2 linked regions of the Macaca fascicularis genome follow. The protein of the gene in region 2 purifies or fractionates together with the protein of the main gene of each other region. This does not show direct contact. Links are inferred from orthologs where the notes say so. Each region holds a gene or a part of one and is shown on either strand. Other genes may lie near its edges.

Region 1 (4,147 bases), on a different chromosome or scaffold from region 2:
TAAGGTTAAAAAAAAGAAAAAAAAAAGGGGCAGACAAAATACCATACAGTATTTACTACTATGGCATTCATAAGCTAGTTTCAAATGCTCACCATTTTCTTTTGTAGTATATGTTTGGCTTAACCCAGTACTTTTTTCCAAATGTGGATTTGAGTCAAAATAAATTTCCCATTATTTAAGTGAAATTAACAGTACATATATCTCACAACACTAATGAATTTTTAAAATGAAAAGTTAAAAAAAGTTTTAAAGTGGCCAACCTGTGATCCCTCACAAAATAAACTATTTAAATACCAATAAATAACAGACCCCAAAGAGTATCAATTGCATGCAAAAACAAATTCTGTTTTCCAGGGTATCTGACTTAACATAGAATCTAATGATGGCACAAATTAAAAATCACCAACGTGCCCTTTCTAGTGTGAAACCCAGAGAGAACATATACAGACCAAAAACAAATGCTTTACTTTACCTAGGAGACATTAACATTCACCTTTACGCGCTTAAGATTAATGCAATATGTTGAGAGTTAAATATTGTGAAAACTGTAACTTTGAATTTCATGATTTTTATGTGAATATTCCAAGGTTTTAAAAAACTTGTAACATGACATAGCTGAAGAAGATACAAAAAATCTAGCCTTTTCTCCCTTCTGGATCGTATTTGCTATTTCGATCATTTTTTTTAAAAAAAACAAAACACCGCAATGAATTGTATTCAAGATTCTTCTATATTTCAGAGTAAGTTAAAACAAGATAAAGTGACCAAAGCCATTTGAAAGATTCACTAACTTGCTCCAACCTAGGTGCACAAGGTACCTGGTTCTTCAAATTTGGCTTTAATGAAAATACTTCTCCAGAATTCTGGGGATTTAAGGAAAATTATGCCAACCAACAAGGGCTTTATTATTTTATGTAATATTTTGCAAAAACGTGGGTATTTCTATCTGAAGATAAAAATCCTCAGCAAAATCCACATTGCACTGTCCTTCAAAGATTAAACTAGTTAAGACGCTATTAAGTCAAGTCAGCAAGTATCTCCATGTAATGAATTCGTTTTGCTCCTAATTTTCCCCTATAATTATACTGGGAGAGCTGGGAAATATGTCGATGTAAATTTCTCAACCACAAAGATGCAAAGTTATACTTTGGGGGAAAAAACCTTGGGTTAAATCCTTACATACTTTAGCTTTTCATTAACTTACCAATGTAGTTTTATTGGAGGCCATTTTTTATTGCAGACTTGAAGAACTATTACTAGAAAAATGCATGACAGTTAAGAGAAGTTTGCACGACACAAAAAAGGTAACTAAATACAAGTTCTGTTTGGATTCCAACCCCCAAGTAGGGAGCGCACATTTCAAACGTTGATACAAATCCAGAGTAGATTTGCGCTCCTACCTACATTGCTTATGATGCACGTAAGTACGTGTTCTAAACATGTGAGTCTAGAAAGACTTTACTGGGGATCTTGGTACCTAAGGCAGCTTCACATGGCTTAACATAGGGGACAAATATCTTTTCTAATCTAAATCCCATTTGTAATCAAGTCCATGTTCCATTTTTAAAGGACAATCCTTTCGGTTTAAAACCATGCACGATTACCCAAACAACTCACAACTGTAAACCCCTGTGAATCTTCTCTGTTCTGCAATCCTAAGTTTGTTTCTGCTCAGAAACCCTCTCTTTTTCCAATCAGCAGTTAACTAACTAAAGGAAAAAACTTAACGATGCTTCAACCCCGTTTCGTGACACTTTGAAGACGCAATCACCTTTTGCACACACCCGCTCCCCCTCCGCCTCCGACCCTCTCCGCTGGAGCTCTGCGTCCCGAGGCCTAAGCGCAGCTGCCCGCCCCCACCCGGGAGCGCGGGCCTCGTGGTCAGCGCATCCGCAGGGAGAAACAAAGGCCGCGGCGCGGGGGCTCAAGGGCACTGCGCCACACGGCACGCGCCTACCCCCCGCGGCGGCCACGTTAACGGGACGGCCGCCGCAACCTCGGGACAGTCGGCCGCGCGCCGCCAGGCCTCGCGGACACGGGACCACGCGCCGCCCTCCCGGAGGCCCAAGTCTCGACCCAGCCCCGCGTGGCGGCTGGGGGAGGGGGCGCCTCCGCCGGAACGCTGGTGGGGGAGGGGAGGGAAAATGCGCTTTGTCTCGAAATAGGGCGACCGTCGCCACAGCTCCCTACCCCCTCGAGGACCGAACAGTCCCCCCACTAACTGCCGGCGCCGGCCCCGAGCCAGGTCAGCCGCGAGGCCACCGCCCGACCCTCTCCACTCCTTCCCGCAGCTCCCGGCGCGGTGTCCGGCAAGGAAGGGAGGGGAGCGGAGAAGCGGGCCCCCGGGGCGCGTGCAGCATCTGATGCACCACCACCGAGCGAGGGCTAGAGAGAAGGAAAACCACCGACTTCACCGCCTCTGAGCTGCTCCGGGTCGCGGGTCTGCAGCGTCTCCGGCCTTGCGCGCCTACAGCTCGAGCCACATCCGAGGGGTGAGGGAGCCGGGAGCTGTGCGCGGGGCCGCCGGGGGGGGGAGGGGTGGCACCGCCCACGCCGGGCGGCCACGAAGGGCGGGGCAGCGGGCGCGCGCCCGGCGGGGGGGAGGGGCCGCGCGCCGCACCCGCTGGGAATTGGGGCCCTAGGGGGAGGGCGGCTGCGAAGACCGCGGCACTTACCGTTCGCCCCGTGGCGCCTGGTGGTCCCCAAGGGGAGGGAGGGGGGAGGAGGGGCGAGGACGGTAACCGGAGTCTCCTCAGCGGTGGCTTTTCTGCTTTGCAGCCTCAGTGCTGGCGCCAAAACCGGACTCCGCCCACTTCCTCGCCCCTGCGGTGCGAGGGTGCGGAATCCTCCAAACGCTTGGGGAGAGAGAGTTGGGAGCTTAAAAACTAGTACCCCTTTGGGACCACTTTCAGCAGAGACCCCTCCTGTACCCCAGGGGTCAGCTGCATAGACGCGGGTCAGGGTTAGGTCAGTGTGGCGTGAACGATAATTTGACTAGAAGTTGATTCGGGTGTTTCCGGAAGGGGCCGAGTCAATCCGCCGAGTTGGGACACGAAAAACGAAAAGGGAAGGCTCATATTATACTACGATTTTTCTGGCGGGGGTTATCAAAGGCGTAGCTGCAGGGACCACCTCCCAGGTTGAGAGGGCTGGAACTCCGGGCTCCGGATTAAGCTCCTCCCGTCGGCGTTAATTTCAAACTGCGCGACCGTTTCTCACCTGCCTTGCGCCAAGGCCGGGGGCGGGACCCTATTCCGAGAGGTAGTAACTCGCGGGACTCGAGCCTTCCGCAATTCACTGAGCGCATTTACGGAAGTAACGTCGGGCACTGTCGCTGGCCACAGGAGGGGGAGGAGTACGCATTTGGCGTAAGGAGGGGCGTAGAGCCTTCCCGCCATTGGCGGCGGTTAGGGCGTTTACGCAACGGCCTGACGTAGAGGAAGACGCGTTAGTGGGGGGGAAGGTTCTAGAAAAGCGGCGGCAGCGGCTCTAGCGGCAGTAGCAGCAGCGCCGGGTCCCGTGCGGAGGTACTCCTAGCGGTGTTGTTTCTCGAGGAGAGGCAGTTCTCACTACAGCGCCAGGACGAGTCCGGTTCGTGTTCGTCCGCGGAGATCTCTCTCATCTCGCTCGGCTGCGGGAAATCGGGCTGAAGCGACTGAGTCCGCGATGGAGGTAACGGGTTTGAAATCAATGAGTTATTGGAAAGGGCATGGCGAGGCCGTTGGCCCCCTTGTGGAAGTCGGCCGGCCGCCTCCGTGGGAGAGCGGCAGGAAATCGGACCGCTTCAGTAGCAGTGGGGCTTGAGGTTTATGAACGGGGTCTTGACCGGAGGCCTGAGCGTACAAACAAGCTTCCCCACCCTCGGCCTCCCGGCGCCATTTCCCTTCACTGGGGGTGGGGGATGGGGAGCTTTCACATGGCGGACGCTGCCCCGCTGGAGTGAAAGTGGGGCGCGGAGGCGGGAATTCTTATTCCCTTTTTAAAGCACGATGCTTTGGGGGCCACGGCGTCTCCGCGGCGAGTGTTTCGGCGGGCAGCGGGTACCCGTGAGCGAGGCTGCGGAGCTTCCCCTCCCCCTCTCTCCCGGGAACCGGATTTGGCGGCCGCCATTTTCATGGCTCGCCTTCCTCTCAGCGTTTTTCTTTTA
Region 2 (4,107 bases):
CTGTGCCATGCATTGTTTTAAGGGCCCACTATTTATAGCTATACAGGTGAACCGCATGTCTGACAGTGATCCTATAAAATTGTAATACCGAATTTTTACGGTACTTTTTCTATGAGTAGACACACAAGCGCCTACATTGTGTTACCGGACAGTAACCTGCCGCACAGCTGTGTGGCCCAGGAGCCGCCGGCCACTTTACAGCCCAGGTGCCCGCAGCCCTGCCACGTAGGTGTGAGTGATGTTGCTCTAGGATGTTGGCAGGATGACGACATCGCCTGAACACACACTGCCCAGATGGTATCAGTGTCGTTAAGCGAAGGATGGCTGTGGCGAAACAAACAAACAAGCAAACAAAGACCGCCTGTTCTGAGTGCGGAGCTTATTATTCTGGGCGTAATTATGATGAATTGTTAGTTACGTTTGCCTGCAGGATTGAGGTAAGGGGTGATCCCAATTAGGGGGTGCCCCAGGGGAGCGCCCCAGGAGTCAGGGCTTGTCTCAAAAGCCCCCGCTCCTCCCTCAGCCTCCCCTCCATCCGACCCCATTCATATCGCGGGAAGGTCCCACAGAGTGGCTGTGGATACTCCCGAAACGCAGCGGTGTAAACGGGGAGGGAGGGAGAGAGACAGTGGTCTGGGAGGGAGACTGAAGAGCCCTTTGTAGCCAGGCAGAGCTGTCAATAAAGTTTCGTCGCCTTAGTAACCGCAGGCTTCGCGGCGCGGGAGGGGAGAGGGATGGCGGTGCGCGCACAGTCACCGCCTTCCTCCCGCCCGCTCCGGCTTTCTCCCTCCTGCGGCTGAAGCTCTCTTCGGAGAAAGAGAATAGGGAGGCCGCAACTCTATGGTGATGGACGGATGCCTTACCCAATGGAAAGAGGAGCTGTCCCAAGGCCAGCCAGTCATATACGACTGCTGGTGCTGGCAGAGCCCGCCCTCTTTCCACTTGGACCTGAATAACCCGACCCAACCCGAGTTTCGCCCGGAGCGACTGCGCTTTCGGCCAATGAGTGCGTCGATTTCAGGCCGCAGTGGGAGAGGAGGCGGGACACGTCGCTATGAGAGAGACTGAGGGACAGCGATGTCAACCACTGACAACAGTTCGCGGCGCTTGACGGTGGCGGGGGCGTGGCGGGATTTTATCTGGGTACTGAGGAGGACCGGGCGGGGAAAGAGTGGGGCTTGACCAATGGGAGCGCCGGAGCTTCGTAGCAACGGAGGAGTGGCGGTAGCCGTGACCAATAGAAACTTCAGTGGCCTTGGCGGGGCGGGCCCGGCGAACAGATGGGAGGTGCGGCGACAGTGTTTGACGAGAGCTGAAGGAGGCAGTGGGAGGTGTTGGCGGCGGCGGCGCGGGCGCCTGAGGAGGAGGAGGAGGAGGAGGAGAAGCGGGTGAGGGGCGGCGCGGGGCCCGATCTCTGAGCCCCTTCACGGCCCCAGCCCCGCGCCGCCTTGGCTCCCAGTCGCCCCCTGCCCCGACTGCCCCCCACCCCGCCCGGCCCCTCCTCGTGTCCAGGCACCCACGTCTCCCGGCCCCTCGCCGGGCCTCGGGCTTCGCGGCACCGCAGCCTCCTTCCTGTGCTTCCTCACCCGGGCCCTGACCCCCTTCTTACGTCCACAGCCCTCCCTGCATCCTCAGGGCCTCTCCCTGACCTCCTGTCACTCTCCAGGCCTCTCCCTGCACCCCCAGGCCTCCTCCTGCACCCCCCAGGGCCTTTCCCTGACCTCACCCTCCAGGCTTCTCCCTGCACCCCTAGGCCTCTTCCTGCACCCTCAGGGCCTCTCCCTGACCCCTCTCTCACCCCTGGGCCCTACCTGCACCCCCAGGGCCAATCCCTGACGTCCTCTCACCCTCCAGGCTTCCTCCTGGACCCTCTAGGTCTCTCTGTGCCCTAGAACCTCTCTCTAACCCCTCTTCCCCTCTCCTGGCTCTCCCTGGACCCTGAGGTTGGCCTCTGACCCTCCAGGTCCCTTGCTCTGGGCTCTCACCGCCCACCCAGGCCCCTCCCTGGGCCCCCAGGCCCTTCCCTAGGGTCTCCCTTTCCTGGATTCCCCAGGACCCCACCAAGCCCCGTCTGGATCCCTAGGCCCCTGTCGGCCCTCTCAGGCCCCTCACTGGACACCCAGGATCTTCTCCACCGTCCCTGGGTCGCCCCCCCACCCAGGTCTCCCGTCTGGCTCCTCCCTGGGTCCCTAGGCCTTTCCCCGCACTCTGCCCTCCCTGGCACCCCCTTCCCTTCCTCACACCCCTCTGAGTGCCCCCAGGCCCGGCTGCAGCCTTCTGCCCCGCATGGCTTCCTGCCGTGCCCACCGCTGTGCGTTTCTGTCCTTGCCCCCAGTCCCCTCTCCAGCTTCCCCGCCGTCCCTGGCGCCCTCCCGCAGCGCCCCCTCTTTCTCTTCTGCAGCCTCCCAGTCTGTCCCCGACCCCTCTACAGCCGTCTCTGCAGCTCCCGCTCCTTCTCCTCCACTCTCGGGCGCAGATGAGCCTGGGGTGCCCTGGTGCAGGGATGAGGCTGGCCTCCGTCCGGGTTAGGGGTTTGGGTGGTTTCTTTCATCTCTCCATTCTCTCCTGGCTCCGCTTTAAAAACATGTTTTTGTAAATGTTGACCTGTGCTGCCTCCCCATAGTCTTCCTTTGCTCCCCACCCCACCCCTGCTTTTGTCCTCTGAGCCCCCCTCCCCTGGAATCCTTGGAGAGGGAGCAGGTGCTGGGATCCCTCCCCTGCCCTCCCTCCCCTCACCCGCCTCCAGGCTGCCTGGGGCTTCACCCGGAGCCTCCTGACCACTCCCGAAGGCTGCCGGGGAGGCAGGGGGCGGAGACCGAGGCTGGGTCGTGGTGGGGGTGGAGGGCGGGACCTCGGGCTGGCGGGAAGCTTTGACTTTTCCTCCTTGAGGGCTAGAGGTGAAGCGGCTCCCCACCTTGCTAAGCCTTTAGGGTGATCCCGGCTGCCAGTCAGTCAGCCTTCCCTGGGCCCACAGAGATGGGTGTGTGGGGGGGTCTCTGCACATGGGCAGGGGCATCTGCGTGTGTCAGTCTGAATGTGCATGGGTGTGCCTGGTGCCCGTGTGCGTGTGCACGTGGGGTTGTGTGTTTACGGGGGCCTGCGTCTGCCCTGCAGAGCAAGAGGGGATAGAGATGCTAAGGTGATGGCTGACATGGCTCTGGGGTTTCCCTACTCTCAGAAGTACTTCTTGCGTTCCATCTTCGCCAGCAGCCCGGTGAAGTCTGCACTGCTTTTCTCCCCATTTTGCAGATGAGATTGTGGGGCTCGCCAGCATCCCCCACGGCTTCTGAGTAGCTCAGGAGTGGAGTCAGCACCACGCCAGGCTCCCCGCGCCTGCCTTGCCCTCACTTGTTCCTGCTCTCTAACAGAGGCAGCATGGTCCGCAGGGCACCATGGGGCCGGACAGAGTGACAGCACGAGAACTGTGCGAGAACGACGACCTGGCCACCAGCCTCGTCCTGGACCCCTACCTCGGTTTCCGCACCCATAAGATGAACGTCAGGTGAGGCGGCCTGGGGGCGAGGGCGGGCCCGAGCGGTCAGGACCCCTCCCCTTGCACCACTGCCGCCCCTCAGCCCTCTCCTCAGTCTGGTCCTCCCCTCAGCTCCAAGTGGGGGTTGGGGCCGGGGCCCGGGAAGGCCCTGGGACCCAGGCATGCCCTCTCCCCCAGCCCTGTGCCCCCACTGCGGCGACAGCAGCACCTGCGCTCAGCGCTGGAAACTTTCCTGAGGCAGCGGGACCTGGAGGCTGCGTACCGGGCCCTGACGCTGGGAGGCTGGACGGCCCACTACTTCCAGAGCCGGGGCCCGCGGCAGGAGGCTGCCCTCAAGACCCACGTGAGGGCGCCCTCCCCTCCCCCGTCCTCACCGCGTGTCCTCCCTGCTCACCGGGCTTGGTCCTGCCTGGCAGACGCTCTAGAGTCCCTCAGCGCAGCCCCTGGGGCCCCCTGACTTCCTAGCCCTTGGGACCATCTGAGGCAAGGCTCAGAGAATCCTAGGAGAGGAGAGTTGGGGGGGGCCCTCTGAGATGTACTCCAACCTCTTCATTTGACGGATGAGGAAACTGAGGCCCCGAGAGGGAACACGAGGCCCCCGAGACCACACAGTG

What was found. Proteins that work in one complex are often made in the same cells at the same time.
Region 1: the proteins of KMT5C (region 2) and CBX3 purify together in Homo sapiens (affinity purification with western blotting; 3 studies listed by BioGRID and IntAct, with this or other methods). This does not show direct contact. The link is inferred for Macaca fascicularis from reciprocal best matches to the Homo sapiens genes KMT5C and CBX3.

The regions. Positions count from the first base shown.
Region 1 is NC_088377.1:104,102,943-104,107,089, forward strand, and holds the start of CBX3 (chromobox protein homolog 3), read right to left. Parts: upstream 2,801-4,147; 5' UTR 2,676-2,800; intron 2,488-2,675; exon of another isoform or gene 1,772-2,487; intron 1,257-1,771; 5' UTR 1,229-1,256; coding exon 1,205-1,228; intron 1-1,204. Other genes in the region: HNRNPA2B1 (heterogeneous nuclear ribonucleoproteins A2/B1), read left to right, coding at 3,667-3,672.
Region 2 is NC_088393.1:63,286,749-63,290,855, forward strand, and holds the start of KMT5C (histone-lysine N-methyltransferase KMT5C), read left to right. Parts: upstream 1-1,307; 5' UTR 1,308-1,388; intron 1,389-3,249; exon of another isoform or gene 3,250-3,368; 5' UTR 3,369-3,392; coding exon 3,393-3,502; intron 3,503-3,670; coding exon 3,671-3,836; exon of another isoform or gene 3,837-4,053; coding exon of another isoform or gene 4,054-4,104; intron 4,105-4,107. UniProt on the Homo sapiens protein: Histone methyltransferase that specifically methylates monomethylated 'Lys-20' (H4K20me1) and dimethylated 'Lys-20' (H4K20me2) of histone H4 to produce respectively dimethylated 'Lys-20' (H4K20me2) and trimethylated 'Lys-20' (H4K20me3) and thus regulates transcription and maintenance of genome integrity.